Xenopus tropicalis: one gene and its partners. The protein of the gene in region 1 interacts with the protein of each later gene in a pairwise test. Links are inferred from orthologs where the notes say so. Each region holds a gene or a part of one and is shown in the gene's direction. Other genes may lie near its edges.

Region 1 (4,868 bases):
AAGAGGCCTACAGCAACATTAAAGGAGCTGCAAGAATATTTGGCAAGTACTGGCTGTGTGGTACATGTGACAACAATCTCCCGTATTTCTTTTCTTACGAAGAAAAACATCCAAGTCAGGCTACATTTTGCAAAAACACATCTGAAGTCTCCCAAAAGCATGTGGGAAAAGGTGTTATGGTCTGATGAAACCAAGGTTGAACTTTTTGGCCATAATTCCAAAAAATATGTTTGGGACAAAAACAATACTGCACATCACCAAAAGAACACCATACCCACAGTGAAGCATGGTGGTGGCAGCATCATGGGGCTGTTTTTCTTCAGCTGGAACTGGGGCCTTAGTTAAGATAGAGGGAATTATGAACAGTTCCAAATACCAGTCAATATTGGCACAAAACCCTCAGGCTTCTGCTAGAAAGCTGAACATGAGGAGGAACTTCATCTTTCAGCATGACAACGACCCAAAGCATACATCCAAATCAACAAAGGAATGGCTTCACCGGAAGATTAAAGTTTTGGAATGGCCCAGCCAGAGCCCAGACCTGAATCCGATTGAAAATCTGTGGGTTGATCTGAAGAGGGCTGTGCACAGGAGATGCCCTTGCAATCTGACAGATTTGGAGTGTTTCTGCAAAGAAGAGTGGGCAAATCTTGCAAGTCAAAACGTGCCATGCTGATAGACTCATACCCAAAAAGACTGAGTGCTGCAATAAAATCAAAAGGTGCTTTAACAAAGTATTAGTTTATGGGTGTGCACACTTATGCAACCACATTATTTTAGTTTTTTTGGTTTTCTTCCCTCCCCCTAAAAGATTTGTTTGTTTTTCAATTGAGTGGTACAGTTTATAGGGCACATTAAAGGTGGAAAAATTTCTAAAATGATTTATCTTTGTCTCATTGTTGTACAGCACAGGAACCTGACATTTTACCAGGGGTGTGTAGACTTTTTATATCCACTGTATATACACATTATACATTGTGCTGGAACTTGAAGCACAAATATTCGTGTGGTAGCAGTGAAGGGAGGAAGGGTAAACGTCAGTGAACAATAAGTTTCAGTTATACACATATTTATTATGATGATGGGGCAAAGACGGAATTAGAGGCAACGTTGACCTCGGAATATTCACTTCCTTATATTTTCCAATGGAGGGGGAAACGATTCCCTATATAAGCCCTGGGAAGGGGCACAGGATCAGAATGCTTCAGAAGTGACTGCAGCACCGCACCGACTGCATCACTCCAACACTTTTTGATGTTTCCCAAAGGCCTCACAAATCACCCGTTTACCTTTCGGATGTAGCTGCCTACGTTGGATGCATAAACAAAGGAATAGGAACTAAAAGGACACGTCCTGACCTACGAAGTTGTCTCTTGAATAAGAGAACCCTATATTAGAGGGCTAGCGGAGAGTGAGTGAGTGAGGGAAGAGTGGCAGAGGGGCGCGCATGCGCAGAGAGCTTGTTTTTCCCAAAGCCGCACATAAGTGAGCCGGCACACTGCAGACAGGCGTCTTTGTAAAGAGACCATAGAAGAGAGCACTGTGACAGCAGCTGCTGCTGTTACTTCTCCTACCTGTTCTTCCCGATGAGCTGGCCGCTGGGCGAGCACTGAGCCTGCCTGCAGTCTCTGCACGGCAAATGCATACTCCAGTGCTCTGGCAACATCGCCATTGATGTGAAATCGGAAACTTTTGTCTCCCCCCCAGAATATTTTTATAGCCCCCTTTTACAATCATGGTGCTGGGGAAGGTGAAGAGTTTGACCATAAGCTTTGACTGCCTCAATGGCAGCCACGTCCCCGTCTATTCCAGCGGGGATGCAGTCTCAGGAAGGGTCAATCTGGAAGTGACGGGGGAAATTCGGGTGAAATCCCTGAGGATCCATGCCAGGGGGCATGCAAAAGTCAGATGGACGGAATCAAGGAACGCTGGCTCCAACACTGCCTATACCCAGAATTATACTGAAGAAGTGGAGTATTTCAGTCATAAAGACATCCTGATTGGGCATGAGAGAGGTAAGGATGCTGGGGCTTTTATGGGGTGCTGGGGGTACCTGATATTGGGGTGTATTGGTTATCAGTCAGGCAGCCATTTATTTGTGTGAAGTTGTAGCCTTTATATTTAGCTGAGGGGCTTGGGAGTTGTAGTTCTACAGCATCAGCATAGTGCTTTGTTATTGAACTTATGGAACGGTCATTGCCCATTTGTTTGCATTGTGTGGCTGTATATACAGCTGCTGTGGGCTCCCATGGCTGTGCCCAGCTCGCCAGCCTAACTGGAAGGTGTGTGCCGCAGAGCCCGGGCAGCCTGTTGGGGAGCCCAGTGAATATGGGGGTGATTGGGCATGGGGGGGGGGGCATGGGGAGAGTTGAAGAGTCATTGCGAGCAGGGTGGGGGAAGTGAAGGAATCATCTTGTTTTTCTGAAGTTTACACCACCCTTTGTTAGAAGCGGTTCAATCCTGTTTTCGGCTAGTGGTGTCAGTGGAGAGAGAAGTGAGTGGGAGGGGGGAGCTGCGCTGCTTGCACGGGATTGGCTGATGGGGAGTCAGGTGGTGAGCAGGCTGAATCGCTTCCAAAGGAAAGAAGCACTGAATAACAGCAGTGTACCCCTCAATCCCTGCTGGGCGATATGTGGGTACCCACCCCACTCATGCATGGCGCATCCTTTGCACCTTCATTCAGTACAAATGTCTATATTTTCCATCGTTATTGCACCTCATAACGTTAGTATCACGCTAAGGAGCTGGCATTGCTGTTCCATGAATGGCTTGCAACTCTATATGGCTGCCCGGTGATACCATTCCAAGGCAGCGTTACTTGCCAGTGCTGCATTGCAATGAGTAGTGCTAGAGTAGTGCTGAGGGCAGTGTTTGGGCAAGAAGTGAGCGGCTCTCTGTACAATATGTGGTGCTAGCCTCCATGACTTAGTGGTATAGAGGTGCTGTCACTGAGCAAGTGAACGTTGCCGGACTCCATGCAATACACAGGGTTGGGCTCTCAATTCCAGGTCAGTAAGGGCTCGTAGGAAAATAAAGTATGTGCTGTGTATTAGTGGAACAGTGTAAGGAGCCAGAGTACTGGCAGGCTCTACTGCACAATGCTACTAGGCGCTAAGTAAGCCGGTCTCAGAGCTCAGTAATGCACCAACAGGTGTCCAGCCTCACACAGTGACTAGCAAAGCGCCCAAGGCATTGTTTCATTGTAGTGTGCTGCGAGCTGTGCCATTCTACCTCAGCAACTTACAGGTTAACAGTTACAGTTAGGTGCAGCGCCACACTAGCTTGCTTGGTGAGGGAGGAGGAAGGAAATCAGTGCCGCGCCCAACTCGCATTCGATTGGCCCAGAGCAGTTTGTTAGGCTGTTGTCAAGACAACGGCCGCTGAATGCGATTGGCTGGCCTTGTTGCTTAGGGCGCCAGGGAACAGGTGGAGTGAGATGGGCGTGCCCGTGACGTTTTAGCCTTCCCTGACGCTGCTAGTCCGCTGGCGCTAGAGCAGGGGGCGGTGATAGAGTATCAAGCTCATGGCTTTATTAGCGCAGCTGCCTTTATTGTGTTGCAGGGACTGTGTGTGGAATAGGCGTGCGTGTGATTGAGCCTTATCCTTATGCTCTATACTTACAGGGTGACTTATAGTTCATTAGCAGCCCACTGGTCTCCAGAGAGATACTTTCATCACATAATGCTTTATACTATGCTAGGGAGCAGTGCTTACAGCTGTGTAAGCCATTTATTATACCGGTCCTAAGCATTGCTAGTGCTGGCTACACACGTAGTATCGCTCTGGGCATTGCTAGTGCTGGCTACACACGTAGTACCGCTCTGGGCATTGGTAGTGCTGGCTACACACGTAGTACCGCTCTGGGCATTGCTAGTGCTGGCTACACACGTAGTACCGCTCTGGGCATTGGTAGTGCTGGCTACACACGTAGTACCGCTCTGGGCATTGCTAGTGCTGGCTACACACGTAGTACCGCTCTGGGCATTGCTAGTGCTGGCTACACACGTAGTACCGCTCTCAGCAAGAATCCAGCGTGGTCTCCTGTACACCCGGAAGCTGGGGGCGGGGGGAGGAGGTGGGCGGAGACATGGGTTAGGCTGCGCTCTCTGCGGCTGAGCTACGTAATAGCTATGCATATGAGGGACTGGCTGAGGTTCTGCTCGCACCGGTTCAGGCCGGTCCTCTCCTGCTGGAGTCTGCTTGTGATTGACAGTTCCACACTTGTTTACCACACTGTGCGGCTGCCTCTCTCTCGCCTGCTCACTTTGCAGCACATTGCTGAGCTGGCACAAAGGAAGAAAGTAAGGCAAGGGGAAAAGTGCTGCTCCATTAAGAAGAGAAACATATCAAATTATATTCAGTCAAGCAAACCGACTTAAATTACCAAATCACGTTGTGCTACCTATAGACTTGCTATAATATACCTCAGATTTACTATAATGTACATTTATTTATTTGTTTTAGCAGCTGCTCCCCTTTGTATTTCGGTCAGCTTTCCCTAGGTATTCATTCAAACAAGTATTAACCTTAATTCTTGTTTTATCATCAACTACAACCCACAATCCCCTATATAGTCAAAAGCCGCAACTGTAGGTGGTGCTCTACAGCTCAGCCTTCACTCAATTACAAATATATATATATAATTGTAAATTTGCTAAACTGGATCCTGCCCAGGATGCCAACCAACAGAATGTGACTCAGCGCTCACACACCCATGAGCAGATACAGTATCTCCCAGGTGTGTGCCAAGGAGTGGGGAAGGTCAAGTTGTTTACTTCAAATAAGCAGGCCCCTCCCTGAGATCTCACCTTCCCCGTGCGGTCACGGAATTTAGGATTTTATTGTTTCCCAGAGGGACTGGTTTTATT
Region 2 (2,926 bases), on another chromosome or scaffold:
AATTCCCCGGTATTTAAACTCTTGATGGTAGTAGAGTCACAGACATCCAATCACAATGGTTCCATTGACTCAGCGGTCTATCTACACCTCAAAGAAAAAGGTCACTCTTTTGAGGACAGTAACGTGCATATTTTGGACCGAGAGGACAGATGGTTTGAAAGAGGTGTGAAAGAGGCCATTTATGCCAACCTGGAAAAACCATCCCTGAACAGAGGAGGGGGCCTGAGACACCGCTTGTCACCAACATACAATGGCGCGTTGACATCCTTACCCCGGCAGTTTCACAACAGTTCACACTTCCAGTCATGTACTTTGAAGGATTAACACCTTCATCAATGAGAATCTTGGTACCATTGTGATTGGATCATACCTTCTTATACCTGTCAGTTTCAGCTAACACCTAACTGAACAAGTTCAATGGAACCATTGTGATTGGATGTCTGTGACTCTACTACCATCAAGAGTTTAAATACCGGGGAATTCCCTACCAGTCATTTGAACTGAAGAAGCCACTCGGATGAGTGGTGAAACGTTTTCAAGAAAAACTCCAGTCCAGTTGTTTTAGACTTAATTCTACTAGATACTGTATATCATGACCTGGATGAATGAGAATCTTCATAGACATAAGAGAACATTACTCATTAAGGGCCTTAATTGAAAGGTGACCAATAACAAAAGAAAATAAAAGAATAATTTTAAAACCATACCAAGTTTAAAAGGAAAACTATATTACAAAAACCATTTCTGAAAATAATCAAGTTGCTTTTTTATTATCTCCCTGTCTGTCTGTACATGCAGGCTCTTTGGGGTTTTTCTTTGTTCATACATAAACTTTTATGCTTGATGCAGTACAGGTATAGAATCCGTTATCTAGAAAGCCATTATCCAGAAATCTCTGAATTACCAGGCGGCCAGGTCCCATGGACTTTATTTTAATAAAATAATTAACATTTTTAAAACCATTTTTTCACCATTTTGACCGCAACTAAGATATAATGAATACGTATTGGAGCTAAAACAATTGTATTTGGTTTAACAAATATTTATATTTTTTTTAGTAGATAACAAGTCCCATACCTGTAGTACAGGTATGGGATCCCTTATCCAGAAACCCGCTATCCAGAAAGCTCCGAATTACGGAAAGCCCGTCTCCCATAGACCCCATTTTAATCAAATAATTCAGAATTTTAAAACTATTTTCCTTTTTCTCTGTAATAATAAAACAGAACCGTGTATTTGATCCCAACAAAGATATAAATAATCCTTATTGGGTGCAAAACAATCCTATTGGGTTTAATTAATGTTTAATTGATTTTTTTGTAGACGTAAGGTATGGAGATCCAAATTACGGAAAGACCCCTTATCCGGAATACCCTTGGTCCTGAGCATTCTGGATAATGGGTCCTATACCTGTACTTCATTGGCAGTTTTCTTTTTACAGAGCTCTATGCAGTTGGCTGCTTGGTGGATCTGGTATGCTTGTTTGTTTAAAAGGGTATACATTAAAGGCTATGGCACCATCACCATGGATTTGTAAATCCAAAACATAGTTGAATTGCACCATTAAAACATTTGTAATTATTTTAAAAACACAGGATCTACAAAACCAGTACCACAGCGTAAGGAAGACACGGGCAGATGGGAGCTGTTTTTACAGAGGACTTTGCTTTGCTTACCTGGAATTTCTACTGGGCAAACAGCAAGAAATTCTTAGGTGTGTACAACATTTGGTTTATTGCGTAGATAGCACGATTTAGTGTTGAGTTCATTGCTTTTATTTGATAAAGCACAAAACATAACTCTGTGTATGTCATAAGCCACTCAAGGTCGTGGAATTCCCAATAAAGGGATCAATGTAATAAAAGTTTGAACCAGATCTAGTGACCCATATGAACCAATTGACAAATATCTGATATGACATCTGCTAGGGATGACTAGACTTTAATTACATTACCCACTTTATGAGCAGGGGAAAGCGGTTTATTGGCTTAATTTAAGAATTACCTGGGAGCACTTCTCAGAAGAGAAAAAAGTAATATATGTCTCTTTAATACATGTAGCTTTAATATACAGTCTGAAATAAGCAATTTTATAATAGTGCTAATTAAGGGCAAGAGAAAGGTTCAGGCAACTAACATACTGAGGGGTTTGTTTGTGACCAAGTCATGTCTAAAATCACAGTTGTACTTTCTACTTTATTTTCTTCAGATTTAAACATCTTGTGGTCCAGAGTAAGAGTGAAGTGGTAATGGCTGGATTTCAAGAACACTTGTTTAAGCACCACTATGAAACTGTAAGTAAAGTAAAAGCAAAACAGAAATGGTCACAAGGGCTTGCTCTGTTTAGTTTTTCTTTTGACAATTTCCTTTGGTACTTTTTTGACTAACAATTTTTCTGAATGGGTCTAAGAATTTAGCACATTAGTATAACGATACAAGTAACATATTTTGCTTAAGGAAAACTCCTGAGTATTGTAAAACTGCACTAAAACAATGATTCAGTTATTAAACATGGATTTAATGCATTTTGGTATTTTGCTACATATATTAGAATTTGTAGCTCTCACCATTCTCACCTCTTAACAAACTATAGTGGTTAACAGTATAGGAGGACATACAAATTATACTTCCAAGTTGAAAGTAGAGGTATGGGACCTGTTATCCAGAATGCTTGGGACCCGGGGTTTCCCCATAAAAGCAGTCTTTTTGTAATTTGGATCTTCATCAATAGGATTGTTTTACTTCCAGCAGGGATTAATGATATCTTAGCTGGGATAAAGTACAAGGTGTACTGTTTTATTATTACAAAGAAAAAGTAAATCATTTTTAAAAATTATATTTATTTGATTAAAAGAATTGTATTTTTGATCATTTTAAACTTTCTGGGTAACAGGTTTCCAGATAACAGATCCCATACCTGTAGTATA
Region 3 (4,914 bases), on another chromosome or scaffold:
TCTATGAGAACACTCAATAAGGCTCCCAGGTTGCTTAATCAAGGGCAGATTTTAAAATTGCAGGTATCCTGCTCATATGAACTTTGGTGAAATTAAGCTAAAATCAAAAGATTCCAGCATATGGTGGATACATTACAATAATCAGAAGCAAAGTCCCAATGTAATATCACAGCCTGTTTGGATATACACATGCACGGCACTCTAGTGGAAATTACCTTGGACCTGGTGTGCTTTTTAGGGGAATGTAGCACCAACCATTGGGTATCTAATAAATTGGGACCCTTTTAGAGTCATGTAGATCATTGCCGCTGTTTTTTATGCAACCTTATGTTGTAGTATACGTTGTATTTGCAGTGTTTAGAGAGTTAGCAGCACAAGGAAATGTAACTGCTCCGAAAGAATTTATACATAAATGTTCATCTAATCTGCTGTTTTGAACAGAATCTGAATCACCACCTTTCTATTCATTATCTTCTCTGCCTTTTCCCCTTCTGCTATTCTGATTTGAATTCTTCATATTTAAACTATATATATATATATATATATATATATATATATATATAGACAGAGAGCCGCACACAAGGACTTAACGATAAAGTGAAAAAATTTTATTCAAAAAAATCCAACATTTAGAGTACTAACTGTACTCTTCCTCAGGGACAAACCAAAAGGCCAAACCAGCCAGCACCCAGGGCATTTGAACTTTTATAGGGTGTGCTCCACTCTTCCTTGTGTATGTGTATATATATATAAAGAGTAGCTGTAGAGAGAGTCCGCACTCACAGGTCTTACAGAAAATATAGAGGTTTTATTCAAATCAACATCTAACGTTTCGGCTGCATCCACAGCCTTTCTCAAAGACTTTGAGAAAGGCTGTGGATGCAGCCGAAACGTTAGATGTTGATTTGAATAAAACCTCTATATTTTCTGTAAGACCTGTGAGTGCGGACTCTCTCTACAGCTACTCCATCTATTATTTTGGAACTGCACCCAGGCTCCTTTGGACCTACTTTTACGAGAGTGCCTGTCTTCTTGCTACATATAAAATTATATATATATATATATAGTAACTGTTGTTCCCCCTACTTTTTTTCTAAACAATACATAATATATAAAGCAAGAGATGTGTGGAATAAATGAAAGAAAAAAGGGGAGAGGAAAGTAGTACAGCTTCCAGCAAAATGACAATACATTGAACATCTTTGGGAACAAACTCTAACATAGGTCCAAGGTAATCTCCACTAGAGTGCTGTGCAATCATCTTTTATTTAATGCCCCACAGCTTCCTCTGCTGCCCTGGGCCACTGCATGCATAGTATAGTAATGCCAGAAAAATTAATATATCTATGTTTCAACCGGGGGGGGGAACAACGGTATCCATTAAAAAATCAACAATGAACGGGCAGTTGCAGATCCGAGCTTAGTTATTATCTTCTGTCCACTTATTTATAGGGAATTGTTGGTGGGGCTGCCGCCTGGCCGTCCCAGCTGCTAAAAATAAGACTTGCTGCTAATGTCACCAATATGGAAACATATTAAAAGAATAGAGAACATAGCATTGTATCCCAGAAGCAGCAACACCACAATTGGTTACAGACCATGCAAAAAATCTTTTAACGAGGTAGAAAAAAATTCACACAAATTCTTTAATTGTATCGCTTTGCATTTCCAGTACAGTAGAATATAAGACAAACAATGCGGAACGGTGCTTAGAGTACGCACAATAGCAAAACTGACACTTCCCGTAACTCACTAATTGAATATAAACGTCCCTCACGCCTTTTAGCGTGCCGAGAAATAAGAACGATAAAGAGAGATTGTTGCTAAGAACCCACGGGATATCGTCCCCATAGTAAAATGGCAGCTCACTACAGAACGCCAACACCTCCTGCATCCGGTGCTACCTAAACTTTCTTCCGGGTCACGTGACAAGGCCAATGGTCACATGACCGAAAGTGCTGAAGGCGGAAGTGAAGAAGAGAGTGGTGTAGCAGGTAAATACAAATAAAAGAATTTGGCGGAACAGCATAGGGTCGGCGACAGTAAAACAGATTTGATTTGGAAGAGTGGGGAAGAATAAAGCAGGCAGAGAGATATTATGCTGTTTGTTATTGATTGGATTTACATTGTGAGGGGATGGGGAATACACATTTAAAGTACAGAGAACGTTTGCTTTGTTTGGGGGAGGTTCCTAGTAATGGTGTTCGTGTAATAATGAGAATATGACAGCAGACTGAAACACTTTGCTAGCGGTGTATTGGCGATAGCTCGAGGGCACTTTGTATTTCAGGAGAGAACTGGGATTGTGGTGGGAGGGCAAGAAGCCATAACAGTGCGCAGTGTTGTACCGAAAACATAAATATGTGACAAGGTTCCTAGTTATGTTAGTGGTCTTGTTACACTAGCTTATAAAACTCTGACACAATCATTATGTTGTTTGCCATGTACACTCTCTGTTAAGGAAAACGATTTAACATAAGGATATATTAAGAAACCCTTCCAGGAAGCACTGACATGCAGACCCAGATCTCTGGCTGACTCCTAGGTATTCCCTTCTGGATAAATCTGTGCCACCTCAAAATAAACCTCACAAAAACGGATCCTGTAGTCTAGCCATCCAAATCTGGCCTGTCTCATCTCTTTAGCATTACCTTTGATGGCATGCTTATTAATATTGTTAATTGAGCATGCTGCCTGGAACTTATCTTTAACCATTTTAATCCTCAGATTGTTTTAATGCTACTGCCAAAATCTTCTGCTTTCGTCTTAAAAATACTGTCATGTTCCCTGATTTTCTTTCTCAAGCAACTGCTAAAACACGCATCGTGCCATCCCAGCGCTGCGTACACTACTGTACAGCTCTGCGTACATAAGTAGCGCTTTATACATAAAAATATACATACATACATCCCAGACTCACACCTTTTTCTCCATTGTTTTAAACTCAGCTGCTAGATTCCACCTTGCCCTCAGTTAAAATTTTTTATCTTGGCAGCCTAGTAGAGCTATACTGACATGTTCCTATAAAAAATAATTAGAATGTGTAAGTATTATTAAAGAGTTTTTGCACCAAATACCTTCTAGCTAAAATTCCCCCAAAGACATCCCTAGCTCAGCTATACTTACCTGAGCCCACAATCTGACATAGCTAAAGGATGCTCTGTAGTTGTGTCATTAACACTGGGCTTAAGGCAATGTAATCCTTCCATAGGCTGAAGAACTAGCTTTATTTCTTATTAACCTATGAAAGGATTGTGCTGACCCCAGTCCAGCATGACCCAAGAAAATAGCACCTCTTCTTTTATTCACTTTCCCTTTCTTGACAGCTAGGTACTGCTGGGCTTTGGCAGTCCTTTGGCTGGACATATTTTTGTGCTGCAATGTTTTAGTAATACTGATATGTTCCTATGGATTTTCATAGGAACATGTCAGTATCGCTTTAAACAAGGAACTGTTAAACCAAAAAATGAAAATGTTTTAAAGTAATTCAAATAAAATGTGACATAGGGGCAGCCATTCAAGCTGGAAAAAAGGAGAAAAGACATAAATCATGTAGCAGATAACAGATAAAACATAATTGTATTCTACAGGACCTATTTGTTATTTACTATGTAACCTGTGTCTTTTTTCGAGCTTGAATGGCTGCCCCCATGGCTACACAGCAGGGTATTTATATAAATATAGTAGAGTTTCTAAAGCAAACAGATTAGTGTTTCCAGTGCAGGGCAACTTTATATTATATTATAATTACTTTCATCATTTGGTGTTACTGTTCCTTTAATTAAACAATAGTTTACACATCTTCTGCTGATCATTTAACCTGTGTTACATTTCCCCATTCTTTTCTCTGTCTGGCTCATCTGTTTCATTCAGAGCCACTGCCTTTACATAATATCCACATCCACTTCCATATCTCATTTTATAACCTTTCTCTGCTTCTGATCCTTACTTCTGTATTTTCATCCATGAAATGCTCCGTAAGAGGCAGTCTCTCAACCTCTTCAAAAAGAAACTCTGATTCTACCATTTTGAGTTCTAGAACAATTAAGGGCCAATTCCCAAACCTTTGTGTCTGTATGTTATCTACCCATTGTAAACTATGGGCTCCTTCCTCTTATGCATCATAGAACTCAATATTGAAATGTTTGTCCTCCCTGTTCATACTTTTGCTGTGTTGAAGGGATGCACAGAATCCATTATTTTTGGATTTGCCTGGTACAGGTATCAGACCCCTTATCTGGAAACCCATTATCCAGAAAGTTCCAAATTAGGAAAAGGCCATCTCCCATAGACCCAATTTTAATCAAATAATTCACATTTTTAAAAATGATTTCCTTTTTCTCAGTAGTAATAAAACAGAACCTTGTACTTGATCCCAACTAAGACATAATTAATCCTTATTGGATACAAAATAATCCTATTGGGTTTAATTACTGTTTAAATAATTTTATTAGCAGACTTAAGGTAGGAGATCTGAATTACAGACCCCTTATCCAGAAAACCCCACGTCCCGAGCATTCTGGATAATGGGTCCCATACCTGTACTTTATCCAACACAAAACTTGACTTAAAGGAACAGTAACACCAAAAAATGAAAGTGTATAAAAGTAACTAAAATATAATGTGCTGCTGCCCTGCACTGGTAAAAGTTGTGTGTTTACTTCAGAAAGTCTACTATAATTTATATAAATAAGCTGCTATCTAGCCATGGGGGCAGCCATTCAAAGGAGAAAAGGCACAGGCACATAGCAGATAACAGATAAAACACTATTGTATTTTACAGAGCTTATCTGTTATCTGCTATGTAACCTGTGCCTTTTCTCCTTTTTTCCAGCTTTATTGGCTGCCCCTGTGGCTACACAGCAGCTTATTATATAAATTATAGTAGTGTTACTGTAGCAAACACACCAGTTT
Region 4 (4,241 bases), on another chromosome or scaffold:
TCTGGATTTAGAAGGTATGGATAAGAGGAGTGCCCAGTGCTTACTCACAGATATGTAACTGACTGTATAGTTTGGGCTTCTGAGGCCGCCTCAGCCTTTTAGCAGTAAAACTTGGTACTAAAGTCGGCCCCCAAATGCTTCCCATTTCATGCAGCATAGAAATCAGTGCAGTCTATGTCACATTTAATTAATAACCAGCCCCGTAGTTTAGATAATTTCCAACGACCCCTAATCTTAGCTTCTCGGCGGCAGCCCAGAGCTTACTGAGCATGTGCAGTGCCACTGGCACACAAAAGACAACCTAAGGGGAAGTTTCTTTGTGCAACTTGGACCATTACTGTTATAGGTCTGGACCATTACTGTTATAGGTCTGTTCAGGGTCGGACTGGGCCGCCAGGACACCGGGAAAAATGCCGGTGGGCCCTGTCCGACCCTTTCCGGCGCTCCCCCTGCCCGACTGTTCCTCCCCTGACGCGTTAATTTTATATGCGCTCGGGGAGGACGTCTGGTAGGGGCCCTGCGGTGGGGGGGAGTTAGTGGGGCCCCTGGGGGGGTTAGGGGGACACGGCCGGCGGGGGCATCTGCAGGGCCCCTGGGGCGGGAGCCCCTGTGGGCCCTGCACCCCCCAGTTCGACCCTGGGTCTGTTCAACCTTTGGTACAGGCTTCTTACACACAGCAGACAGGGTCCATCCCTGTATTCAAGTTTGCCTTTTGGCACAGTTAAGAAATTCCTCCCTATGCTGCAGTTGCTTAGTGCACAATAGGACTGAGGCTCATTTGTTTGTCCATCACTGTTAAACTGGCCATACACTATAGGGCTAGGTAGCTAAATGAGCAGGCCTTTTTCCCCAATAAGCCCACCTCTGGGGCAATATCCTGCTAATCTGATCATGAATACGAACTATCAGGTGAGTGAGGATTGCATTGATAAGCCAATGCGGTTTCCAACTGGAAGATGAAACCTGCCCGATCAATATCTGCCTGATTTTCTGCCACATATTGATCAGGTAGGCGAAGTGGAGGGCCCCATACACAGACAGAGAATGTAGAATCGGTCTGAAGGGTGTGAATTGGCTGCCTCTTAAATCTGCCCATGTATAAGCTGCTACGAATTGGCAAAGGGCAAGATGATCTTTGCCCCCCATGCAACACCCCAGGTGCCAACGTCATACATATGGTCTGGTCATGTTCCCCTATAATGAGATTTAGAAGGACATAATGGAGAACCTGGCCCTGGAACTGTGCACTCCTCAAATAGTTGACCACGTGGTCTGCTTACTGGGGGTTATTGATGATGTAGTACCTACCAGCGCAACCAGAATTTGGCTCCATACACTTTTGTTTTATGGCAAAAAGACAGTGATTATGCATTGGATGGGGAGTAACCGGCCCTCCCTGAATGTGTGGAGTCAGTTAGTGGATAGAGCACTCTCACTCATGAAACTTATATATGAAACACGTGGGGCTGTAGAGGATATGGGGAGATTGGTGTAATCCCCTTTTTAAAAAAAAAAAAAAAAAAAAAAAATCTGCTCATGTATGGCCACCTTTAGTCTGACCCTAACTGGCAATCTGTAGATTCTGGCAAATGCCACAGTGGCTGCTGTTGATGAGGGTGGGGCTTTTTGGGCCTCTGTTTACGTGAATTGCCAGGGCCTGTACTGACTCTTAATCTGAACCTGCTGTTAGTATGGATATGGATGAATAAATACTCTTACAGAATGCAGCTGAGCTTCCAGTAACATCAGAGACTTCACACTGTTCATATTGTGTACGGCTATTATATGGCAAGCACATATTGTATCCCAGTGCAGCCCTAACACATTATTTATCTCCGATAAATAAGGGCACCTTTCTTTTCTTTTACCTAGCAACAACCAGTACTTGGCTGAAAATGAATTTCAAAAGAAAATTAACATCTTGCAATGTAGCTCTGCTTAGAAAATGATCATCAGATGTTTCTCTGGTCAGTTCTAAGCAGAGCCACTGTCACAACATGTTAATTTTCTACGGGCTGGGTCCAGTCAAAATGAACAGCAGGTGGCGCTGTTGCTTCAGATTCACTCTTTTCACAGTGTTAAAATATGAGAACTTACTGCATTTGTAATCATCACACATTAGGAAATTGCTTCTCACCAAGTCTTATTTTTAACTCGTGCAGACGTCTGCCAGCAGATGGGCCCCATGATCGACGATAGGTTACAAGAGATTGACAGGTGAGTTCATGCAGACATATGGTCAGTGTACTGCCTCAATGATATGGAGGGAATGCTTTTACCGAGGGCAATCAATATCTGAATGTTTTCATGTGCCTTACGCTATAAGTTTAATGTTATCTTCTATTTGGATAATTACCTTTTTTCCCCCAATCAGGAAACATTCCGAGCTCTCAGAACTAAATGTGAAAGTAATGGAGGCCGTAGAGTTATACAATAAGTTAATGAATGAAGCTCCTATGTATTCTGTGTATAACAAGCCCCAGGCACAGGGTCATTACCCTGCTGGGGTATCTATGCAGGTGAGTGCTTCTTTCTTCTGCCAATTATTTACACCCAGCTGTGCCCATACAGCTGCCAGTCAAGATATGGGGCGTAATACCACCAAGTGGGGGGCACCAAGCAGCCAGTCCTGGGGTATTTAATATTAGAGCTTGGGGCTGTGTAATTTGACTAGCTGTATGTAGAAAGCAGTACAGCAGCACTTTGCTTTAATATGATTAAACCTTTCACGAAGAATTGATCTATAGTTCCAAAAATAGATGCCATTTGTGATGCCAATATTTTCTATCTAATGCAGAGGTTTTCCTTTATGATGCAGAGTTAGGGCAGGGAAAGGAGAGGAAGGCTCCATTCTGGTCTCTTTGTTATCTGCTATAGAGAGGGGGAGAGCTTTGATCTCTTTTCCTGTGTGAGCGCTTTGATACTGTCTAGAGAGACATCTGATGGAGAAAGAGCTGGAAATGGGTTCTCTACAGTTGGCCATGTGATACTGAAAAAGGATTAAAGGGGAACAGTCATCTCAATAGGGCCTTATACTGTGTTATTCATGCCTGCATCCGTCACATACTGACTGTAGTACAGAAAGGAACGTTATACTAAATCATAATGAAAAGGATAGACAAAATAAAGGCCCCCCCGGCTGCTGATTTGCCACCCAACCAAGAAATACTGAGCGCATTCAGGCAGCCATGATATGGATGGGACCTAGGGCCCTTACCTGCCTGCAGACAGCCATGATAAGGATGGGACTTAGGGCCATTACCTGTCTTCAGACAGCCATGATTTGGATGGGACTTAGGGCCATTACCTGCCTGCAGACAGCCGTGATAAGGATGGGACTTAGGGCCATTACCTGTCTTCAGATAGCCATGATTTGGATGGGACTTAGGGCCCTTACCTGCCTTCAGACAGCCATTATAAGGATGGGACTTGGGGCCATTACCTGTCTTCAGACAGCCATGATAAGGATAGGACTTAGGGCCCTTACCTGCCTTCAGACAGCCATTATAAGGATGGGACTTAGGGCCATTACCTGTCTTCAGACAGCCATGATAAGGATGGGACTTAGGGCCATTACCTGTCTTCAGACAGCCATGATAAGGATGGGACTTAGGGCCCTTACCTGCCTTCAGACAGCCATTATAAGGATGGGACTTAGGGCCATTACCTGCCTTCAGACAGCCATTATAAGGATGGGACTTAGGGTCATTACCTGTCTTCAGACAGCCATGATAAGGATGGGACTTAGGGCCCTTACCTGCCTGCAGACAGCCATGATTTGGATGGGACTTAGGGCCCTTACCTGTCTTCAGACAGCCATGATAAGGATGGGACTTAGGGTCTTTACCTGCCTTCAGACAGCCATGATAAGGATAGGACTTAGGGCCCTTACCTGCCTTCAGACATCCATGATAAGGATAGGACTTAGGGCCATTACCTGCCTTCAGACAGCCATGATAATAATGGGACTTAGGGCCCTTACCTGCCTTCAGACAGCCATGATAATAATGGGACTTAGGGCTGTTACCTGCCCTTGCAGAAGTATGGTGATTAACCCCTTTGTGTTTATTTTCCATCTATATTAGAGTTATCACAGCCAGGCACAGGGCGGCAGCTATATGGTGCAGAGTATGCCCCAGGTACAGCCGGCGACACTCCCCCAAGGATACAGTATGGCCTCGGATCATATTGGACCCCTGAGGTCCTTGCCACCAACTCTCAACTCTACAGTAACAACACAG
Region 5 (4,241 bases), about 23 Mb from region 1:
TGATATTGGTTCTTGCCAGTGTAGGGGCAGGAACGAGGGGAATGCCGAAGGATATCTGGCCTGAAATTGGCCAGATATCGATTGGGCAAGTTAAAAGATTTAGTCAGAACGGGGACCGCATCGGCTCGTTGATGCGGACCCCGAACCTACTGCCCCATTGCTCCCCAGGGCCAAACGATCGAATTAGCCTACATTTTCCCGATATCACCCACCCGTAGGTTGGCGACTTTGCCAAGCAAGCGAATCTTAACGTGTATGGCCAGCTTAACTCTGTAGCACTTCATGCACAGTCAGGTAACCCTAGCGTTTCTGGCTGTCTGACCGTCAGAGAGTGCTCTTGTGCCCAAAGCCTCTTACTTGCAGTCTCAAACTTGAACCACTAAAGGAGAAAATGCAGCTTTGTTAGACTCTCGCTGGGAGTTTGCCAAGAAGAGGTTGTACAAGGACAGCTGTTCTGCCTGCCCAGTTTTGGGCCATTTCCCTATAAGTAAAAGTCTGCAGATAAATCCTTTACGGTGATTAAAATTATAGCACGGCATTCCAAGGGCAGATAAATCAGCCTTGTTACGTATCGCTTCTCCAATCCACCAGTCACATAAGGACGGTGCAGGGTGCGGGGAGTTGTTTGAGACCAATCCATGGAACAATCTTTAGCATTTGTTGTGCCTACAATTGTTCTGCACACACAGTTGGATATAAAGCATTCTCAGAGCGATTCTGTTTGTGTGCCCCCGTCTGAGTGCTGCTTTCTAGCAGTCATTAGCCGATTTGCCAGCTTATTGGACCTCATCATTTCCAATTCTTCCATTAGTGCTTATCAGCCCTGTAGAGCCCTTCAGTAAGCATTAGGGGAATGATAGCTCTTCCCCACGCTGGGAACAGTGCCCAATCCTTATTATTGCTAACAGGCACCGTGCCTTTGATGTGGATTTACAGATTAGCCCTCACCGTGGCACAATAACTCCCAATTACAGTAATGGGTGCCCCAGTGCATTGTGGTAAAAAATGTAGGTGCCTTTCCCCCGTGCCTGTGTTCCATGTATTTCTGCTTGTTGCTGTTTGTCACCTCTTCTAATGTTTCCCTTTTTGCTGTTCTGCGTCCCTTTAGGTTTCTTCATTAGACCATTCTATAAGATGATGCTGGGGAAACAAATAACGCTGAAAGACATGGAGTCAGTGGTAAGTTGTCTGGGCGCCATATTCTTTGCCAAACCTCCCTGTGGTTAAATTATTGTAGGCTAATACTATTATTTCATATTAATATTGTCTATAATAATAATAAGCTGTGACCCCCAAGCTTCATTGTTTCCTGGCAGGAAGATACTCAGTACTGATAATGCCCCATATGTAATAAATGGCACTTTGTTTGCCCAGGAGCAGTAACCAGTAGCAACCAATTAGATGATTGCTTTTTAACAGTTGACCAGTAAATGCTTCCTGCTGATTGGTTGCTATGGGTTACTGCTCCTGGGCACACTTAGTGCCATTTATTACATAACCCCCATATTCTCCAATCAAGTCAAGATTTCTCCTGCACGTTACTCGCTGCCATCGCCAGGATACTGCGTGGCTAATAATTACTGTGCATCTTGTTTTTATAGGACAGTGAATACTACAATTCCTTAAAATGGATCTTAGAAAACGACCCAACCGAGCTGGATCTCAGGTTTTGCATAGATGAAGAAAACTTCGGTCAGGTGGGTACCAGCCCAAGTTATTCAGCTGAAATCATGGCTGTCATTTTATTGCATGTTTGAGAAGGTTTCACATATAAAATCAGTCGCCCATAGCAACCTGCAGGTAAGTACAGGTAGGTGAGTCTTGCCTCAACATACCAAACATGGCTGTCCATTATAACGCCATTATGGGGGTGTAAAACAATCACCCAACCTGTGAAACCCTAGTGTAATCTGGTAATTATCAATAAACTGAATTAATCATAGAGTTATCAGAGTCAGATTAATGAGTAAGGGCCAGCAACAGGTTATCCAAGGGTCCAAATTTCTCCTGTGTGTGGCCCAAAAACACAGTACCAAAGCCCCCGATGTGAATCACCTGCAAGCTCCTGTGCAAACTTATTTCACGAAACAGTTGCCTGCCTGCCGGGTTTCCTAGGAATTATGGGAGGTCATTCGTGCTGGGCAAATTTTGGCCTGTGGGCAGTAACCCATGGCAACCAATCAAAGTGTTGCATTCATCGTTCTACCTGATGCTGTTTTAAAAAAAGCCAATTACTGTTTGGTTGCTTTAGGATACTGCCCAGGGGCTAATTTGCCCAGTATTGATAAATGAGCCCATATGGTCTTCCACTGATTCAGCTCTGTCCTTAACGCCAGCTACCAATAGAGCGGGCTTCCAATATACTTAGCTTGGCTGCTGTAAATAGCTGTATAGTCATTCTGCTAGAAATGCCCCTCCCGTTATATATGAATGAATGAATAATCTTTATTGTCATTATCACTTGGACAACGAAATTGCAAAACAATCAACTCAAAGCAATGCAAAAGCACTATACAAAAATAACACACCATATATATAGCATATACATTAATATTTATATACATTTATACTTATCCCCAATCTTGTAGGTTGGCCTAATCATTGGGCATAAGCCAGTGGCCAACATAAATGTACCAATATGCCTAATGGCCAGATTTAGTTCCAATAATATCTAGGGCTGCAAATACATTTTCACCCACAAATCTCATCCCAGTTGACATTCAAGCTGGGCTTTCAGGTGTATCAATAGGAGCGAATAAACAAACCCCCAAATCTTATTGGCCTTTAGACTGAGCACCTACTGCTTTAAGTTCCCACAGTTTGGGAATCATTGTATTATGGGGATGAAAGTAGTAAAAAAAATAAGTTTGATTGATGTCTTGGTTACTATGGTGATAAGGATGTCGTAGCGTATGTATAAAGCCGTGTAAATAGCAGTGGTCCCATTGATTGGTGTAAATACGGGATGGGTGTAAATATGGCGCCATACTTTATATGTTTTATTTATTTTCACTTTACTAATGGAATATAGAATTGTATGAACTGCTGCTTGATAAATATGGGATCCATTTGAAACTTACGGTTCTTCCACTATAAAATTCATTTCCCCTTAATAACGAGGCCGGCGGTGCATTTATACTAACGAAGACCCATTTGCTTGTTCTGTAGACGTATCAGGTGGATCTGAAGCCCAATGGATCTGAGATGGTCGTGACCAATGACAACAAGCGAGAGTACATTGAGTAGGTTCTGTTCTTCATCTCTTCTCGGTGTTTCATTCACATTTGCCTGAATGTAATTCATTGGTTTTGCTTTCCCAAAACTTACAGACATCAATTCAAAGTTCAGTTATTGCTCTGATCATAAAGGGGTTGTTCACCTTTAAATAAACGTTTAGTATGATGTAGACATTAATATTCTGACACAATTTGCAGTTGGTCTTCATTTTTATATTTTTAGTGATTTTACAGGTATTTAACTTTTGTTCAGCAGCTTTCAAGCTTGGTATTTCAGCAGCAGTCTAGTTGCTAGGATCTTATTTGCCTTAGCGACCAGGCAGTTGTTTGAATAAGAGACAGGAATACGAATAGAAGAAGAACCAAATCAGAAGATAAGTAATAAAAAGTAACAATAACAATAAAACTGGAGCCTCACAGAGCAATAGTTTTTGGCTGCCGGGGTCAGTGACCCCCATTTGAAAGCTGGAAAGAAGCAGAAAAGGGAAGGCAAATATTCTTAAACTATAAAAAATAAATAATGAAGACCAGTGCAAAGTTGCCAGGAATAGGGCATTCTATAACATACAGACCCCCATATGTAATAAAAGGCACTAAATTTGCCCAGTAGCAGTAACCCGTAGCAACCAATAAGACATTTGCTTATAAACAGGTGACCAGTAAATTCTACCTGCTTATTGGTTGCTATGGGTTACTGCTCTTGGGCAAACTTAGTGCCATTTATTACATAACCCCATACGAGTTAACTAAGGGTTTCCCTAGTAAATAGGTTTTAGTCCCTTATTGGGAGGAACAAGAAGCACAATAGAAAGTGGATAGAAGCACAGCTGTACCTTGCAAATCTGTATATATATACATTTATACATACATTTATACATTCATACATACACAGACGCGCGTTAGACAATGGCGAGTGATGTCTATTGATAAAATCAGGGCTGTGCGCTGACATTTCAGACGCATTAGATGTGATTTTTCCCTTCCCATAAACAAAGGCACGCCAGC

The links.
Region 2: the proteins of arrdc3 (region 1) and otub2 interact in binary tests that used the Homo sapiens proteins (3 or more experiments, as listed by UniProt). The two-hybrid records come from large-scale screens. The link is inferred for Xenopus tropicalis from reciprocal best matches to the Homo sapiens genes ARRDC3 and OTUB2.
Region 3: the proteins of arrdc3 (region 1) and wwp2 interact in binary tests that used the Homo sapiens proteins (3 or more experiments, as listed by UniProt). The link is inferred for Xenopus tropicalis from reciprocal best matches to the Homo sapiens genes ARRDC3 and WWP2.
Region 4: the proteins of arrdc3 (region 1) and stam2 interact in binary tests that used the Homo sapiens proteins (3 or more experiments, as listed by UniProt). The two-hybrid records come from large-scale screens. The link is inferred for Xenopus tropicalis from reciprocal best matches to the Homo sapiens genes ARRDC3 and STAM2.
Region 5: the proteins of arrdc3 (region 1) and nedd4l interact in binary tests that used the Homo sapiens proteins (3 or more experiments, as listed by UniProt). The link is inferred for Xenopus tropicalis from reciprocal best matches to the Homo sapiens genes ARRDC3 and NEDD4L.

What each region holds. Positions count from the first base shown.
Region 1 is NC_030677.2:178,686,117-178,690,984, forward strand, and holds the start of arrdc3 (arrestin domain-containing protein 3), read left to right. Parts: upstream 1-1,546; 5' UTR 1,547-1,735; coding exon 1,736-2,015; intron 2,016-3,630; exon of another isoform or gene 3,631-4,301; intron 4,302-4,751; exon of another isoform or gene 4,752-4,868. UniProt on the Homo sapiens protein: Adapter protein that plays a role in regulating cell-surface expression of adrenergic receptors and probably also other G protein-coupled receptors.
Region 2 is NC_030684.2:88,165,368-88,168,293, forward strand, and holds part of otub2 (ubiquitin thioesterase OTUB2), read left to right. Parts: intron 1-1,595; coding exon 1,596-1,714; intron 1,715-2,208; coding exon 2,209-2,293; intron 2,294-2,926. UniProt on the Homo sapiens protein: Hydrolase that can remove conjugated ubiquitin from proteins in vitro and may therefore play an important regulatory role at the level of protein turnover by preventing degradation.
Region 3 is NC_030680.2:60,922,818-60,927,731, reverse strand, and holds the start of wwp2 (NEDD4-like E3 ubiquitin-protein ligase WWP2), read left to right. Parts: upstream 1-1,955; 5' UTR 1,956-1,994; intron 1,995-4,914. UniProt on the Homo sapiens protein: E3 ubiquitin-protein ligase which accepts ubiquitin from an E2 ubiquitin-conjugating enzyme in the form of a thioester and then directly transfers the ubiquitin to targeted substrates.
Region 4 is NC_030685.2:75,892,980-75,897,220, forward strand, and holds part of stam2 (signal transducing adapter molecule 2), read left to right. Parts: coding exon 1-14; intron 15-2,162; coding exon 2,163-2,217; intron 2,218-2,374; coding exon 2,375-2,519; intron 2,520-4,085; coding exon 4,086-4,241.
Region 5 is NC_030677.2:201,737,228-201,741,468, reverse strand, and holds part of nedd4l (E3 ubiquitin-protein ligase NEDD4-like), read left to right. Parts: intron 1-1,108; coding exon 1,109-1,179; intron 1,180-1,601; coding exon 1,602-1,697; intron 1,698-3,168; coding exon 3,169-3,242; intron 3,243-4,241. UniProt on the Homo sapiens protein: E3 ubiquitin-protein ligase that mediates the polyubiquitination of lysine and cysteine residues on target proteins and is thereby implicated in the regulation of various signaling pathways including autophagy, innate immunity or DNA repair.